2 linked regions of the Drosophila melanogaster genome follow. The gene in region 2 interacts genetically with the main gene of each other region. Each region holds a gene or a part of one and is shown on either strand. Other genes may lie near its edges.

Region 1 (5,031 bases), about 11 Mb from region 2:
AATACATCAGACGATGTTTGATCAGGGGATTTCGGAATTTTTAGAAATCACAGGGTGGGGTCCCACCACAACAGATTGATCGGATTACACCGAATTTTTTTTAGCTGCCGATCTTAGCAACATATGAGGATTTGCTGCGATTGACAGCTGCTCAGTTGTGGAGTCCTGTTGATCATTTTCCCGTGGTTGCGGCTTTTTTGCGCTTTGGAGATTCATCTTATATCTAAAGACCATTAAACTGTGAATTAAGCACGGAAAGAAGATCATCGACTCGGCGAAAACTATCTCTAGCTACGCCAAAACTGTTGATAAGTTCTTTCCAAGCCACATTTAGTTTGGCGCATAAACAATTTCATCTCGTTCGCAACCACAAGGCAAGCATCACAACAGTAATTTTAATTTTTACCCTTCGCTAGGTCATCGCTTGTTCGGCCATTAAAACCAGCGCACTTAGTATGCACCATTCTATCACATAGCCAACAAAACAATTTTTGGTGCTCAGGTTTTATAACCTGGCAACAATTTTTATAAAAGCAGACAACATTTACGGTTTCCATGTTTATCTAAAATCAGACCACTGTGCACGAAAACACAAGATCAAAACATTCTAGCGAGGTGTTAAAAGAACCGCAAGAGAGCAGTCTGCACGCTGAGAAATTTAGATTTTGTGTGGGCGCATGCAAAAAACCACACCGAACAGCACTGCGAACAACGTACAAAAGGGAGAGTAAACATAACACAAGGACGAAAAATGCAAAATACTTTGTATATTTGTTTAAACTACTGCACAAATCACAAAAGAATCACTCGCGAAGCGAACGGAATCTTTAATAATTATGTTTAAAATATATGATAATTAAAGAAGATTATTAAAAACCACGGCTTGTTTGACAAACACAAAATAAAAATCGGAGCGCAACTAACACGACCGTTCGCTTTGAAAGCTAATTTCAGAGGGACCTTTTCCCAGGGCCCTTTATGTTGGGACCTCTGTAATTTTAAGTCAAAAAAAAAAAAATTAAAAACTTTTTTATAGCTGTACTATGCAATTATCACAAAAACTGTGGATAATTTTTTTTAATTTTCCTGAAATATCCTTTAAGGTTGTCTAGCGTTCATTTTGGAACACCTTTTGAGAATGGCGATATTCCCTAAAAAGTTGGGTGCCTATTTTTAAATTGCATATTGTAATACTTTTTTGGGTCCTTCAAACTTTTGTCGTAAATAGATAGTTAGATCATTCTTTTCATAACATTCTTTTTTTTAAATTCACCTATAAGTAAAGACTAAAAGAACAAGTAAATAAGAACGTTCCCATGTTAAAAATTCTGCCGTTCCGCCAACGCAACTAACTCATCTGCGCTATTTTGACGCAAATTCCTTTACCACCGTATACATTATATGTATTCATGATCTAGTCAGTCCGTGTATACTTCGAGATCTGGGGAAATATAAAAGCTAGAAAAACAACATATTTCAGAAAGTTCTCGCGTCCATTCGAAAGGTCAACTAAAATTAAAAAATTATTAAATTAAATTAAATTATGTTTCGGTTCTTTTTAATTTAATTTCTATTGATATGCTTAAAAAAACTTGTCTAAGCCCGGAAAACTGACAAAGCTGCCATGACCAAACTTTACAATCATTTGGTTTTTAACACCGTTTGTTAGTGATATATTTTCACCGATCTATTTTTTCTATGATCTATTTTGAGACTAACAACTTTACAAACTTGCACTGCTACAAGATTGCGAAATTGTATGGCTAAACTGTCAAACTGTCCTTGGATCCAAGATCAAGATCCAAGATCAAGAACGAAAATTAATTTGCCTTTAATAAATATATAATATATTTAATATATATACATTTCCATCTGAGTAAAAAAAAAATGCAGTATCGTGCATATTTACGCAGAACGTCACAAATCGACTTTGAAAATTGTGTAAGGTTGAAGTTAATATGAATAAATCTCAATTCATTCGATTCATACATCAGCAGTTTACACAAACATCTTGATATTTGCCTTAGTAAATCTTTAGTGTATAGGTGAAATATACTGAATTTCTGTGTAAGTCCATTTAAAAATGCATACATATGTAATGCATGCATACATATATGGAAAAGTAAAATCAGTAAGAAAAGGAGGTACCATCTGCTACCCAGTTGATGATTTTTTGTTGATGAAACTAGTAGTTTTGCACATAAGCTGTGTCTAATTTACTTAACTTTTTATAATTAAAAAAAGTGTTTGTTTATTTTAATATGAAAAAACAACTAGATATGCGTGTTGTCATGGGTTCTTAGGTTCGTACATAGAATGTATGTTAATATGTCCATCCATTAACTTACTTATGTATGTATGTTCCGAGACCTGTAATGTAAATTGATATTTATTTAATATTTATATTGACGTGGACCATTTTATGATTAACTTAGCATCGGCAGTTCAACGTTTTTCATGGAATTCTCATACAGTGGCTCGCAGCTTATTTCTTTCAGTTGAAATCAAATCTAATTTTTTTTACGCACTTGTTTGAGTAAATTAAGGCATACGCAAGAAAGTGAGTATGTGTGCATATTTGTGGAAAAAGACGATTTTCAACCAGGTATCAATTTTCATCTTAAAAATTAATTTATTTAGAGATTAAAGGAATTTTGCATAAATAAGGGCATTCAACTGGGCCAATCAAGTTTTTTATATTGAAATAATCTATTGAAACTCAAACCTGTATAAAAACAGCCCTACCAGCATCAAATTAAAATGAGCACATAAAAATTAAAAGTTCGTAAATAATTCCTATTTTACTATTTTGGCAAAATTTAGCACAATTACTTTATATTTTGTTCTTATTATTTTATTATTACTATTTTCTAAAATATGAATGTCACATTTAGTCAAATTTACAAAGCATGAGCTTATACTACGTCTGCCTGCACACTGCCTACACACTGTAAGCGTTCTTGAGAGGTCCCCATACGGACGTGGAATTTGAGTGGAATATGTTCCGACACGTTATTTCATAACTCCACATAAGTTTCAAAAGTATTCAAGTCTTGTCCTGTAAGAACCCTATGAGGCCTATGGATGCATTCCTTGAAAGGCTTTTATATGTATTTCGAGTATTCGAGAATGTTTACAGACATGCATATGTGGGAATGGTCATCCTAGCTAATATAACGATGACTAGGCGAAGCTAACGACGCGGCGAGCCTTCAAAAGGCAGAGAACGATTTCGGGAGCTAAACGGAAAAATCCATGGAAGGAAAATGTTTTTACGACGACGAAGTAGAAGACGTGCCGGAGAACGACTATCTCGCCAAAACCCCTTAAACAAATATCCAATCAAGGATCAGTAAACACATCACAAAAAAAAAAGAACTCAGTCTCACATAATTTGGGGCTCAACAATTAATATACAACAAAATTAAACCAAAATAACAGAGTGTAAAAAGGTAGTAAAAGTGTTAAAAACAAGAATTAAAATATAATGAAAATAAAGAAAGAAATAAAGTATCGCAAGAGTTAGCAAATCCGGATCCGGAAAACATTGTACTCGATAACAGAAAACGCTTGCGAGAATTTCGAGGCTACGCTTACGACGAGTCAAATCGTCAAATCGACAGAAATTAATTTCTTCGCAGACAAATTATCTGATATGGATCTCGCGATAATTTGCAAAAACTGCAACAGGATAAGACCGACTTGACAAAACACATATATTGCAACAAAGAAACATGTTAGTCGAACCAAATTTGGCGAGGAAATGACTAACACGAAAGCGAAGAGTATGAAACGGACAATGAAATCGGCGAAGAAACTCAGGAAGATACTGACAATATCAAGCTAAAGTTAAGGGACTGCAAAATATATCTCGTCGGGTTTAGTAAATCAGACAAAAATAAGATCAAATCATCAGGATCGTTTGAGCAGAAACTCTCAATAGGCAGAATATGCCGAATTTTTAAAAAATTTTCTCGTATTAGAATCGCACCTCCTCGACTAATAAATGGTGTTTGATAAAGAGTTTTGCAAACAAGCTCAAGTTACAGTAAACAGTGAAGAAGTGAAAATTACAAAACCTATCACATCAGAAGGTGATATAAGTTCAAATCTCAAAATTTATATCGAAGATATAAATACATACGGTATGCCGAAATACATACGGTCCTGCAGATTTTCTTATGCCGAACGTTACATTTTTGACAATAAAACCGAACAATGGCTTGAAGACGGCATCATGGAAACATCCGAGTAGAGCCGTTAATATACATCGTTAGTCACTCACAACTGACAATTTCAATTTCTGAGAATACCTTTTCGGTCTTTCAAATTCGCCAAGTGTGATCCAACTTCATGTAAACGCTATCTTCAGGGATTTAACCACAAAGGAGTAGCTATACATTACGTGAAACTTCATCCACTCAGCAAAGATAAGCAACCGCTTCAAACCTACCATATAAATTTCCTTGGACTTCTAGAGTCAACGCAAAAGCAGTATAAACAGTTTTACCAGAAATCGACAGTTTCACAAAATTCTGCTGGCTCTATCTAAATCCAAACACCCAAATCAACATCTTATATTTTGCAAGACTTCAAGATCAAAGCAACATTTTTGGAAATAGAGAGGTTGAGAGGGTGAACTCAAAAGCTTCAGTTTTTTCAAAACTTGCAATTGACGACCCACTACATTGGCATAAATTGTCAGTGGCGTACCAGAAGTCATCAACTCAATGTTTGTTTGAAGCAAAAAAAGGGCAGGAAGATGAGCCTAAAATTGAATATAAGGATTCAGCAGATGCTAGAGGATAAAATGATAGAATTCAAGCAAAGAGACGTTTTCTCCAGATTCAAAACGAGAAGAAAAAGAGATACAATCTACGACGAGGACCATCCTAAAAGTACAAAGTCGGCGACATAGTTGCTATTAAAAGATCTCAGTTTTCATAAATTTAAAACTGAAACAATAGCCAATCTAAATAATTAAGGATCAGCAAGCACATCATAATCAGGCATGCTCTGCTTATCTTAATT
Region 2 (5,347 bases):
GCTTTAGCTCCAGCAGTAGCCAACGGTAACAGAAAAGTAAGTCGTCCGCTTGCTGCGACTTGAGGTACTCCCAGAACTCAGGATCATAAAAACTTAGCGCCTCCGTTAGGTGAGCAAATTTCTGAGTCATTGCAATCCCATCCAGCATGAAGTTTCCACGCATACGTGACATTATCGCACAAAAGCAGATGTAGGCCTGTGCCTCGTCGTTCATGGTAACCAGTAGCGGGGAAGCAATGTCCGACATGCCTTGACAATATGAGACCGATGGATGGTTTAGTGCATATGTGGTGAGGATATTGAAAAGCGCAGCGATGTTCTGATTGTCGTCGCTGCCTGCATAAAATGGATGCAGGCGGTCCGTGCGGAGAACATCCTTCTTTACCATGCTCGTTACGTAAGCCAGTTCTCCAGCCACACTGCCTCGCTTCACGGCCGCTTTCCATGTGTCTCTCAGACGACAGTACTGCTCAGACTTTCGTCGCATGAATTCCATACGCTGGTGTCCATCAAGTGCCAGTCCGTTAGCGCCACCGGGATAAACGTTAAGCAGATGTTTCCACACAACGCGCCGCAGACTGGGGTCAATGCCTCCTAGGAAGATGACCCTATGCAACTCGTCCTTGCGTTGAATCTGACCAAGTGCGTCCAGAAAGAGCCGGAACTCGCTGTCGCACATGGGCGGCCGTGGCGGTAGATTGGCCATATGCTCCTCGGATAAGTTAAACGCTTTCTGCACTATGGAGAAGGTTTTCTCCATCTGATTCAGAATGGAGCTGCCCAGTTTGGTCTGCATGTGCTGGACATATTTCTGGGAGACTCCTAAGGACTGCAGTGGTGACATAAGCTCGCGGGCGGGTACAAAAGGTGCAGGAGTTGCGGGAGCAGGCGCTCCCGTTATGGATCTACCCGGGGAGGCCTCGGTCTCACACTCCCTGACCACCGTAAATGGCTTCACATCGATCTGCAGGGTGAGGCAGGGTTCTGAGGCCGTCTGAATGGAAATGTTGTGAATCCTCAGAAAGGCGGCATCCAGATCCCAGTCGGAGCGCACGGCCAGGTAGATCTCGTTGCCCGCCGGATCAAAGGCCTTGTACTTAATGGAGAAGTCCGACTTGACATCGAAGGCCTTGGCCAGCAGGGAGTACAACACCTCCAGCGTGGTGATCTGCGGGTCCACTGAAAACTTTCGCCACTCCGGCCGAGCAGTGGGTTCGCATTTCTGTGGGCGATTTCAAAAAAATTAGATTGAGGAACACAAACTAAGCAGCCCTTTTGTTGTCTCGCCTTCTGGCCACCTTTCACTTGCCTTCACTTTCACCCGAACCGCCTCCCGGGGGCAAATGCCAGCCATGTTTTCCGAGTCTGTTCTGGTCGACGACTAACTAAGTTCCATTGTACCTCTGAGCGATGTCAGTATCGTAAGTATTGCTCAAATATAAAACAATACAAAAGAAGGAAACTGAAATCAATCGACTTGATTTCAATCATCGGTTTCAGTGTGGCCGCCCTAGGGCTTTGTAAGTTCACCAGGGCTACATTAAAATACCAAATCACTAAATACACAAAACAAAAATTTTTAAAATTAAAAAAAATTAACAAATTGTTGAACGTACGAGGAGAATATATCAGCTACATTGTTTGCTAAATTAATATGAATAATAAATGAATATAAGAAAATAAATCTTTTTCAATTTTGAATTGCAAAAGTAATAACTTATTGGCCAAAAAATCACGATATCCCCGCCAGTCACCGTTTTTCATCTGATAAATTCAGTATTTTTGGTATTTATCCTCCGCATTCTTTGCATTTTTTAGCGTATTTTCTGGAATTCCCGAAGATCTTGTTCCGCTCTGCGCTAACGGGCACATTGCTTCGTGTATGTGTATATAAATACAAGAAGATTAGTGCAAAATTGTTGTTGTTAGTTATAGTTTTTTGGCCGCCGTGTGCTAGCAAATGCATTTTATGCCCCGGCCCGCGCACTTTGGCACTACATGTTAACGGATTTCAGGCTGGCGTGGAACGAATTGGGCTGGAAAGCGGTGCGTAACGGCGGTCGTCGGAGACTTGGGTGTGTATACATGTGTATGTGTGTTACGGGCGTGTTTGTGACGTAGGCAAGCAGCAGCGAGAGAGCGAGCGAAATTCCGTAGAATCCGAAAACCATCCGATATCGTTGCTCCCAAGCCGGCTTTACTGGGTCGTCGAGGGGTGCGGTGGCTGTTCAGGGGGCGGGGGTGGAGCGGTCGGATCCACCCGCCCATTCAGTGGAGCCAGCGATAAGCCCGCAATTGAGATAACTCTGCCTCAATTTGCGAGACACTATAGTGTGTTTATCTGTCCAATTGTACTTCCTATGTGTAAGCATGTGTGCGTGTGTTTGTGTGTGCGACTGTGTGCTGCAAGCTCTTCACTGATAAATTCTGCCTCTCCACTTTTTTCTCGCTTTTTAGCAACGAGCTGATGACAATGTAAGTGAAATTATTATGCAAAATAATGGTCTTAGCTTCCGCCGTCGTACAAGCTCTATATGGCCACCAAATTGCCTGTGCCCGCCGTATGTGTACATATGTAGCTACATTTGTATGTTCATATATCACTTACGCGCCTTCGCGCGACGGCGTTCTTATATCATAAATTGATATGTTAACTGCAAACTGTATTACAATGGCCCTATTATCTGGAAATTCACTGACCCTGCCCTGAATCTCGCCCAGCTATTCTTATCGATATGCTTATTTGGAAGACCTCGCCAACTCTACTCGAACTGTTTTTCAGATTGGCTAAGGTTTAATGGATGACACATCAGCACCATGGGAAAGTTACTATCAAAAATTTTCGGCAACAAGGAAATGCGAATTCTCATGCTCGGACTGGACGCGGCTGGAAAAACAAGTAAGCACATAAACAATAAAGGGTTCTCGAATTCGATTGTGGGCCTGATTAGTACCCATTAGTTTCATCAGTTTCCTAAGTGGAAACCAATCCCATTTAAAAAATACTCTTGAGGCGAGGCAATTATTGTTTTGTTTTTATTCTTATTGTACTTTGAAAAAATGTACAATATAAAGACCTTTCAATACGTACACCAGTACTATCACTAATCGAATTCGAGCTATTTTGTTTATACATCCTTTGCGTGTCTAAAGTAATATTGTTTTTGTCCACCCACAGCGATTCTGTACAAACTGAAACTTGGCCAATCTGTTACAACGATACCCACTGTGGGCTTTAATGTGGAAACCGTCACCTATAAGAATGTCAAGTTCAATGTGTGGGACGTCGGTGGGCAGGATAAGATTCGACCGCTATGGCGACACTATTACACGGGTACACAGGGTCTGATCTTCGTCGTGGATTGTGCGGATCGGGATCGGATAGACGAGGCGCGCACGGAGCTGCATAGGATAATTAACGATAGGGAGATGCGCGACGCCATCATACTGATATTTGCTAACAAGCAGGATCTGCCTGATGGTTAGTATAGTGCTCAGCCAATTGTTTCCATCCGCTTATTGTTCTCTCTTGCAGCAATGAAACCCCATGAAATCCAGGAAAAACTAGGTTTAACTAGAATAAGAGATCGCAATTGGTATGTACAACCATCATGTGCCACATCCGGCGATGGCCTGTCCGAGGGCCTCATTTGGTTAACGTCGAACCATAAGTTATGAGAATCGTAATCGAGCATTTTCTTATATGTATGTATATGGCATGTATTATTCGAAGCGAAGCAAAAGCGAAAATATTCTATTTTATTTATACAAAGAAAACCAACCGCAAGCGCATAGTAAAAACTCAATTCGTAAAAACGAACGTACATAAATTACAAATGTTAAAAATGGTATATAGAAGTCAGATATATATAGTAATTATATATACTCTCAATTAACCAACCAATATTCTCACTAGTAAAAATACACATACCTACAAAATAAAAGAAGCATCAAAATAAGCAGCCGGTAAATATCCGTAAAGTAAATTATGCGTGAAGCACAGAGACATAAAGCAAAACATCAACGGAGATTAGCCTTAAGTAAGTTTTTCTTGTAAATTATATTGATGAGACACGTAAGCAATAAGTTGAAAGCTTGTTTATTGCAACTGTTACTATATTTGACTTGAGCAAGGGTGTAACGAGTCTTAAATAAATTGTAAATAAATATTCAAATTAAAGCCCATATACAACAACAAACGAAATAAAAGAAAACACCGAACAAACAATTGAACAAACCTATAGATTGCTATTTAGATTAAAACTGAGTCTTCAAAATATAATGAAATAGTAACTGTGCCTTCCTCAATGTGTGTCTATGATCCCTCATTATTTTCCCCACTCCAACAGCTAATTTTCTCAATCTGATATCCTTCGAGACGAAGAAGGTCCCTGGATTTGCGAGAAAGGCATATTCTGACTTCAGTGTCAAACGCATTTGGTTTGTATTGTGCGCTCAATTTGAAAGGTAAACATGCCACATTCAGTGCCATAATTTGCAGGGTAAATGAGCCTGGGTATACCTGAGCATGATTTGTTCAACACGGCGTTCAATAATTTACCTTTGTTTTGCAATCATCCCCGAATTGTCCGAAAAACTCCTTGGTACATCCTTGCATGAATAATATAATTTATTTTTTGTGGGTGTATGTCTTGTTTTATACCTTTACCGTTTTTATCAAAACCAACCTATTCATAATACCCCGTAATATCTCAGTATCTAAGATTTTTGTTGCTGAATTATAATTATAAATTTTAAGTTATGAAACAAATCATAGGTTTCAAAGTTATTTTCTGTAAATATGTTTTTGTATTATTATTGTATTATAATAATAAAAATATATAATAATTAGTAGAGTCACGTTTTACAGATGAAAAGGTTGTGATGAAGATGACGAGTTCCCAAATAAACGTCATCTAGCGATCCACGAAGTGACGAAGCGCTTATTGCCAAGATAATCTTGTTAATATTCTCACATGAAGTGACACATCCTATGAAATTTGTATGTAGAATTAAACGATTCCGACTTAATAAAGTGTATATATTGTTAATATATATATTATTAGTCAGGATCAATAGCCGAGTCAATCTTTTCTGTGTGCAGAATCCCAGAGTGTAGTATTTCCTTGGTTTTGCGTCTCCTCAAGATGCGTGTTTGTTCTTTCCTTCGTTTGCGAGTTATCTCCAGGATCCGTGGTCTCCTTAATATTTGGTTCACGAAAACAGCAGGTATATGTTGGAAAAAACTATTTATTTTTTGTTTACGATTTTAAGACGATTAAGAAATTGGGGTATTAGAAGCGCCCATGATGTCCTCCATGGTGTCTGTGGTGTTCGCCAAAGCCGC

The links. A genetic interaction does not mean that the proteins touch.
Region 1: of Arf6 (region 2) and conu, changing one enhances a phenotype caused by changing the other (phenotypic enhancement), as found in Drosophila melanogaster (one study listed by BioGRID).

What each region holds. Positions count from the first base shown.
Region 1 is NT_033778.4:4,742,335-4,747,365, forward strand, and holds the start of conu (conundrum), read left to right. Parts: upstream 1-2,013; 5' UTR 2,014-2,067; intron 2,068-2,070; exon of another isoform or gene 2,071-2,303; intron 2,304-2,321; exon of another isoform or gene 2,322-2,560; intron 2,561-5,031. UniProt on the Drosophila melanogaster protein: GTPase-activating protein (GAP) for Rho1; functions with the ERM protein Moe to regulate Rho1 and control proliferation in the developing epithelium. Recruited by Moe to the cell cortex where it negatively regulates Rho1 activity.
Region 2 is NT_033778.4:15,320,667-15,326,013, forward strand, and holds Arf6 (ADP ribosylation factor 6), read left to right. Parts: upstream 1-1,834; 5' UTR 1,835-2,046; exon of another isoform or gene 2,047-2,075; intron 2,076-2,136; exon of another isoform or gene 2,137-2,364; intron 2,365-2,457; 5' UTR 2,458-2,475; intron 2,476-2,782; 5' UTR 2,783-2,817; coding exon 2,818-2,899; intron 2,900-3,178; coding exon 3,179-3,481; intron 3,482-3,535; coding exon 3,536-3,678; 3' UTR 3,679-4,824; downstream 4,825-5,347. Other genes in the region: CG8155 (uncharacterized protein), read right to left, coding at 1-1,222, 1,310-1,354; CG8157 (uncharacterized protein), read right to left, coding at 5,295-5,347. UniProt on the Drosophila melanogaster protein: GTP-binding protein involved in protein trafficking; may modulate vesicle budding and uncoating within the Golgi apparatus. Promotes cell movement and remodeling of the actin cytoskeleton during compound eye morphogenesis.